2 linked regions of the Cricetulus griseus genome follow. The protein of the gene in region 1 interacts with the protein of each later gene in a pairwise test. Links are inferred from orthologs where the notes say so. Each region holds a gene or a part of one and is shown on either strand. Other genes may lie near its edges.

Evidence for each region.
Region 2: the proteins of Fate1 (region 1) and Sec22c interact in binary tests that used the Homo sapiens proteins (3 or more experiments, as listed by UniProt). The two-hybrid records come from large-scale screens. The link is inferred for Cricetulus griseus from reciprocal best matches to the Homo sapiens genes FATE1 and SEC22C.

The regions. Positions count from the first base shown.
Region 1 is NC_048604.1:3,691,193-3,694,947, forward strand, and holds the start of Fate1 (fetal and adult testis-expressed transcript protein), read right to left. Parts: upstream 2,497-3,755; coding exon 2,391-2,496; intron 1,896-2,390; coding exon 1,768-1,895; intron 845-1,767; coding exon 738-844; intron 441-737; coding exon 365-440; intron 1-364. UniProt on the Homo sapiens protein: Involved in the regulation of endoplasmic reticulum (ER)-mitochondria coupling. Negatively regulates the ER-mitochondria distance and Ca(2+) transfer from ER to mitochondria possibly implicating it in the regulation of apoptosis.
Region 2 is NC_048597.1:228,685,392-228,689,046, forward strand, and holds part of Sec22c (vesicle-trafficking protein SEC22c), read right to left. Parts: intron 2,474-3,655; coding exon 2,355-2,473; intron 477-2,354; coding exon 411-476; intron 1-410. UniProt on the Homo sapiens protein: May be involved in vesicle transport between the ER and the Golgi complex.

The DNA.
Region 1 (3,755 bases):
GGACCAAACACAGGACTTGTGAGCAGGAATCACTCTTATGAGAAAGGCAAGACATAAGGGTAGGGGGAAAATATGACCAAAACCAAAATGAATCTTTGTTCCCCCTTCCACATCCTTTTCTCTTCCCCAATTCCTGTCCAGCATCTCCAGCATAAAGGAAAGTCAAGGGTGAACATCAACATGAGGTACTCAAGGCATGAGGCCTGAGAAGAACAGAAAGGAGAGCCCAACCTCACTTCATTTGCTACAGGATATGATTTGGACAAAGGCTATGAAAACTCGGGGGTGGCTTTGTTCACAACTGCCAAAATCACCCACTCCAAAGCACTATGATGCTTCCTCCAACTATACAACAGATGCTTACCTGCCTTCTCATGACTTCCATCTCCAGCCCATTGAGTTCTTCCAGGCCAATCTCTGCCACTAAATCTGCCTCCAGACTGTTGGAAGGAAAGGTTACATGGCTCAGAGGTGTTGGTGGCCATAGAAAAGACACAGAGCAATAAGGTATGCCTGAAGGCTTTTTGGATAAAGATCCCAGTCCTTCCCTTGTGTAGTAAAGAAGCCGGAGGCTTTGCCAAAGCATACGTAGATCCCAAATGGCCAGGAGGCAATAGTATCCCAATACTTCAAGTATATACATCTGCTTCTCGACTCGGATGCTCACTAGTCCCTATGGCCCTACCCTCTGCTTGTTCCTCCCCCAGTAGCTAGGAACAAGACAATTGAACTCTTACCGCTCATAAGGGACCCTCCCTGTTTGGAAGTTGCCAGGAAACTCCTGGAGATAGCCATCCACCTGACTGTGATCTCTTGGCATCCGGGGCATCTGCACCTGATGACCCTACAGAAAGAAAGGATACACCATTCCAAGTCACCCTTTTAGCACCGCATTGTGCATGAATCAACAGTACACCCCATAGGAGCCCCATGATGTCATTTCATCTTCCTGTGCCCCCCCCCACACACACACCATGCCTATTGGTAGCTTCTAGCCTTGTGTGCTGTGCCAAGGAAAATGCAGTGACAGGCTTCTCTGTCTTTTGGTAGAACTTTTACATGCAGGCATCCCTTGAAAACCCAAGCTACCTACTGAAGATGAATGTAAACCTTCAAGATGATTTTAAGTAATTTAAAAGAAAACATCATTTCACACCTTGGAAGTTTATAAAGAATTGTATAGTCATCCCTTGGTATCCATGGAGACTGTTTCTAGAATAAACGCCTCACTATGGTTATGCAGCTCTGCAGATTCCCAAGTTGCTTGTGTAAAAGGTCATAATATTAGAATATAGCATAATCATATCTTTTTATATAATTGAAATAATTACTATATTATTTATAATGTCTAATAAAATGTAAATGCCATCTAAGTAATTCTTATACTATATTGTGTAGATAATCATTGCAAGAAAAACATCTTGCATGTATTCTCTAGAGATGTAATCACTCCACCTCCACCCACAGACAGTGTCCATCTGTGATCGATTGAGCCAATGGATGCAAGACCTAGGAATGTAGAGGGTCAACTATAGATGCATTTTCCAGTCAACATGTTTGCTAGGCATGCAGACTTCTAGCATTGAAGTCCCAGCATTATACAGTACAACCCTAACCTTCCAATGATCTACCCTTCATTCATTTGCTTTATTGGTATATGGAAGCTTCCTCCTCCTAATGATCAACTTCTAGCTATATCTACCATGGGAATACAGGAGCCCCAAAGTAAGAACTTCCCACCCTAAACTAGCCACCATTTGTCAATACCCCTTTCTTGGGACGAGGTCCAGTCACATTCCAAAATGACTGGCCTGAACCAGATCCAGCAGGTTTTTGCTCTGCCCTTGGACGTCTTTGGATTCCTCCCAGTGACCGGGACCCACGTTCCATCATTTCTAGAAAGAAGAACAGAGACTGCTATGAATACTGCTTTAAAGGTTTTACCAGAACTTTCTGGGTACTGAAAACAGCAGAAATCACTCAATACCCATTCACTTCTGATGCTCAGCCTATTTGTCCATCTGTTCAACAGGTCAGTATGTATTTACTGAAAATCTGGCCCTGGGCCTAGGATTCTGTAGCATGAGCAATGATCAAGAGATGAAATCCCAAACACAAACCATCTCTATGTATGAGAGAATAGGAAATACCAATAATAAAATCTTCCATCCATGTAAATTCAGATATGTAAATGGTTCATGAATGATTAAAAACCAAAACAAGCTAATATGGCAAAAGAAAAGCATAAATCAACACTGAAATACCTAAAACAAACGAATAACCTTCCAGACTAAGTAAACAGCATGCACAATGACTGGGATGTTGTAGAAGCAGCACAAGTAAACGCACATGATTAACTATACCCAACAGGCTTTTTAGGGGATTCTCACCTGACATCACTGGTTGTTCTTGGCTTTGGTCAAAGTTTCCAGTCCCTAGATCTTCAGAAATGGACATTTTATACCCTTCTTTGACATTGGAAGGGCTTTCTGCCATCACCACCAGGTATTCATTTGTAAGGTTGTTCAGGGTGGATGGCACAGAGAAGACACTTGGAAGCTCGCCTCTTCCAGGGGTAGAAATGTGAGGGAGATATACTGGCACAAGAGGGTGGAGCCAGTTCTCCCTCTCTGTGCTCAGGCCTTGGATTGGCACCTTGAGTTCCCACTGTATCTTGTTGGTGGGTCTCGTGGCCGCCTTCTCTTCTGCTGTGTAAGCAACTTGGAGATGAGATAGTGCTCTAAGTGGTACTGTTTTTGTGAGCTGCCCTGATTCATCTCCCCTTGATTTTGCTACTCACGGGTAGGAGGATCCCATCCTCCATCATGGTCTAGAAAGAGACAAGGGCTGGCATACGGCCCAAGCATCCATAAGTGCCCAAAGCAGTGACAGGTCCCATGCTTATCATGGTTTCTACAAGCCCATGACTGGCCAGTAATCTAGGGTACAGCACTCTATCAGAGGAGCTTCTCTGTACAGAACATCCTGCCTCCTCCAATGCAGAGTCTTCAAGCAAAGTAGATGGCCTTGTCTGATATGAATCCTGGGAAGGAAGCAGGGAGGGGCAAGAGGGACATGCTGGGCTTGTGTACCCTGCTGTATGTTTCAGCTCTGCCTCAGTTTTTCTACAGATTAGACCAGATGTATGTGTCAATTTAGTCAGGTTCTGATCCCCAGTGAGTTTATCAGACACTCAACTCTCAGTATTTCTGCAAAGGTATACTGCAGCTGTGATTATTATCCCTAATGGACTTTAAATAAAATGGCTTCCTCCCAGTCAGGTGCTTGTACTCAACCAATGTGCTGAAAGAATCAAGTGCAAACCTTAAGGAATGGGTCAGTGAGTGGGATGACCCCATGCCCCAAGGTTCCCAGAGAATGAGGGAAACCTGCCACCACAGCCTGCCCTGTCAGGGTGCTGAGAGGCATTGGAACAGCTTCCATAGGCTCACGCCGTCCCGGCGCTCTTGGGCCTTGGACTCAGCACTCCCAAGATGATACAGACAGATCCAGATAAAGAAAAACCTCTAAAGGTTTACACTGCATTTAAAAATATATGTAGGCTTGTGAGAGAAAAAATAACAGGAGGAAATAGAGTAGCTGGGTGTGGTGGCTCACGCCGGTAGGATTTGCTGAAGGAAGCAGAGGCAGGCAGATTTCCACAGAGAAACCCTGTCTCAGAAAAAATAAACGAAAGATAGTAAAAATAAAGTAATAAAAAAGCCACATAAAGACGGAAAATACACAGAGAATCT
Region 2 (3,655 bases), on another chromosome or scaffold:
ATGCATTCACCCACTAACTGACACCTGTATGCATTTACCTACTAACTGACACCTGTATGCATTCACCTGTTAACTGACACCTGTATGCATTCACTTACTAACTGACACCTGTATGCATTCACCTACTAACTGAACTCGCTACAGCAAAGCTGGGACCAGCAGCTGGTAATCACCGGATTCTAAGAGAATGAAACAGGTGTCACCGGAGGAAGGGTGTTAGAGACACACAAGCAGACGTCCAGACTGGGGATGCAGAGAAGAGAGAGATGCAGTATAAGGGGCAGATCAGGCAGAAAGGCCCTCCCAATCCTACTGTGATTTCTCCCGAGTCACAGCCACGCTGGGTGCCACTATTCCCTCAGGCACCTGCCTGCAGTCCCCACAAGCAGCCAGTCAGGGGCTGCACCCACCTGGACAATGCAGGCCACAGAAGGAATAAAGAAGGCCAGGATGTTCCCAACTTCTTCCTGGGCAACCTGAAACAGACAGGGGTACATAGAAGAAAGGTTTGGCTGAAAGGAATCATGGTGGCACAGAGTCTGTTATCCTGTGTCACCGGTGTGACTGACAGTACAAGGATGCCTAGCCAGACCCAGGGTTGGCATGTGACCATTTTCAATGGTTAGATAGACCGTGTGTACTTCTGTCCCAGGCCTCCATGCTACGTCCTCAACATGCAATTTTCCTTCACCCCCAAGAACCCTTCTCATCTGTTAATGCTAAGCTTCTTCTAGAAACTCCTGCCCCGGGAACCATCACCTCCTCAGTGCTGTCCCTGCACAATGCCATCAGAACCCCTCGGCAGGACCTATCTTAGCCACTTTGCCAGCCAGGCACCGATTCTACCACAAATAGCCAGCAGGTACCTGATCCACACCACACACTGTTAGAAGATGAGATGTGGTCACCGGCCTAAGGGTTTTCACAGGTACCGCTCTAACAGGAGCCTGAGGCCACTCCTCAAAGGGGTCAGTCCACATCACCCTCCTGGGTTCAGCACCCACAAACCACCACCATTTAGTCTCTAGCCAACACCTAACACTGCAGTGAGAAGGACGGCTTTGCTTTGTTATTGACAGTTCATGTGATCCATATGGTCACGGTTTCCCCTCCTCTCCTGCACTCCCTCCCAGGTCCCCCTGAACTCCCCACTGAACCAACTCCACGCTTTTCTTCTCTTGTTAAAAAAGGCAATAATAATAATAATAAAAGAAAAAGTACAGCAAACACAATAACCCCAAATCCATAGAAACACAAAATCAGAAACCATACTATATAATCAAAAGGCCCAGTAAGATCAAAAAGGGTTCAAACAAAGCAATGTGACACAAAAAAAAATCTATAAAAACTCATGGATCTATCCTTGAAAATAACAACTACCTGCTTATGCTAATAACAGTTCTATTGCTTGGAATCGAATATTTGAAGAAAGCATAGAGACAGAATGTTGCTTCACCATCGGTGGCCAAGAAACGGAACGCTGGCTTTGTCCCTGGGGATGTGGGTCTCTGGCAAGAGAAGAGGTGCCTATGGGCCACACATCACACAGTGGGAACATCTTTTCTTAGAGCCTGACAGTGTGAGAATCCAACCTGTGTCCTGTTGACAATGGATCCTTGGTTCCTAAGGGCACAGCGGCAGCCCAAAGTCCTTGCAGCAAGCTGCCTACTTCCCAGCAACATCCCAGAACTCCCAAGGGCAGTCACAAAGGGATCTTTCCAGATGTGTTCAGCTTACTACAAAGAGCAGATTTTTGTTTTGAAGATTCTTTCATTTTATACTCTCCCCTAAGGTGGCCCAGAGCTCTTATGCAGCTGATCTGGGGTGTGAACCTCTGATCCCCCTGCCTCCACCTCTCCAGGGCTGGGGTTACTGAGGTGCATCACCATATCCAGCTTATGGATTATAATTTCTAAAATGTTCTATTTGAATTTTTAACATTCATAAAACCTAGCTGTGCCAGGTGGTGGTAGTGGTACACACCTTTGACCCCAGCACTTGTGATGCAGAGGCAGGCGGATCTCTGTGAGTTCAAGGTCAGAGGGGTCCACAGATGGAGTTCCAAAACAGCCAGGGCTGTTACACAAAGAAACTCTCTCTTGAAAAGCCAAAAACAAAACAAAAAACAAAACAAACAAACAAAAAAAACAAGAAACTAACCAACAAAATCCTAACCTCATATCGACCTGATAAAAACTGTCCCATCATCAGTTTCTGTCACTTGTCTTTCCTTTTGGACTGTAAAGACCGGTTGGGGACGCAGCTCCAGGGTAAAAGGCGCATGCTGAGGCATTCATAAAGTCCTGGGTTCAATCCCCACAACCACCAGAAAAAAAATCTGTACAGAGGGTCACCTGTAAAGAGTGTTCTGCCAGGTGGACTCCACGGACAAGGTTCAGGGCAGCGCACAGGATGTTGAGGACAAGGGAGAGGACACCCAGTGCTGTCACCGGCTCCATCCTGAGATTCGGAGCTTCAGGATGAAAAGAAAAGAGTGTCTTGTGAGAATTGTGTCTCTGTGACGGAAGGGGCCAGAATACCAACTAGACCTGTGCTAACAGACGAACGACGATAAACACAGAACCCCAAGCACACATCTAAAAAGCAACAGGAGTTAGCAGGGCCAGCCAGAAATGGACGCCAGAATGGATCTCAGAAACGGAGGTGAACTTCCAGGAAAAAGGCCCTTTTCACGGCAAACACAAATCTGTTGGTGCTCAGTTGCCTTTTTATTTTACCCAGGGGTGACTTGCTCCCAGAGGGGTGTCCAGAGACACCTGTAATTGTCACCAGGAGAGGCAAGAGCCAGTGACACTGCTAAGCAACCTGCAGGATATGGGATGTTCCAATGCAGGGTCACCTGGCACTGCATGCCAACAGGTCAGGCTGAGAGGCTATGAGCAGGGACTGTCCCGACGCTAGGAGCATTGACACCAGCACCTCAGTCTTCAGTTTGTAAACTGTTCCACTCTTTCCAGTCAGGACAAGGTGCAATGTCACATGGGCACCCAGAGAAATTCACAGCAGATAAGTTCTCAAACTCTAAAATACCCAGGAAGAGGAGGTACTCAGTCTACAACAGTCTGACTGTCAGGCTACAATCGTAGCCAGGACGATAACGGGAACACAGACTTGCTCTCTCCAGCAGGTCACCATTAAAACGGGTTCTGGCTCACAGATGCTGGCCAGCCCGTTCTCCTGTCATGCTCCTTCCTGGAGTATCCTTTCTGGTCCTGACGTTTCCCACGTGTAACACGCATGCACACGCATATGCCGTGTGAGCCACAGCCCAGCTAACGCTAATGTTAGTGTGTGTTAGTTACCACAGAGCAATTCCAGTTTCCGTTAGAAAAGAACATGCTACCTGTGAGGACTCTAGCCTTGGGGCAATTAGGTGAGGCAGTGAAACGCCCTAGGCATGTGGGGTACCTTGGCGCTTTGGGGATTTGCTCCTCTTTTCTAAGTGTTTAAAAAACAACAACAAAACAAAACAAACATTACAAAGGGGTCCCTGTGTTCACGCACAGCAAGGGAGGAGCTTGGACTCAATTACCCAGCCTCCTTCTTCAAATCCTCCCAATGTATATCACAACGGCTTGCTGACTGGCAGCTGAGCCAACCTGGGAATTCATTGGTTTAAACACATCAAGCCACT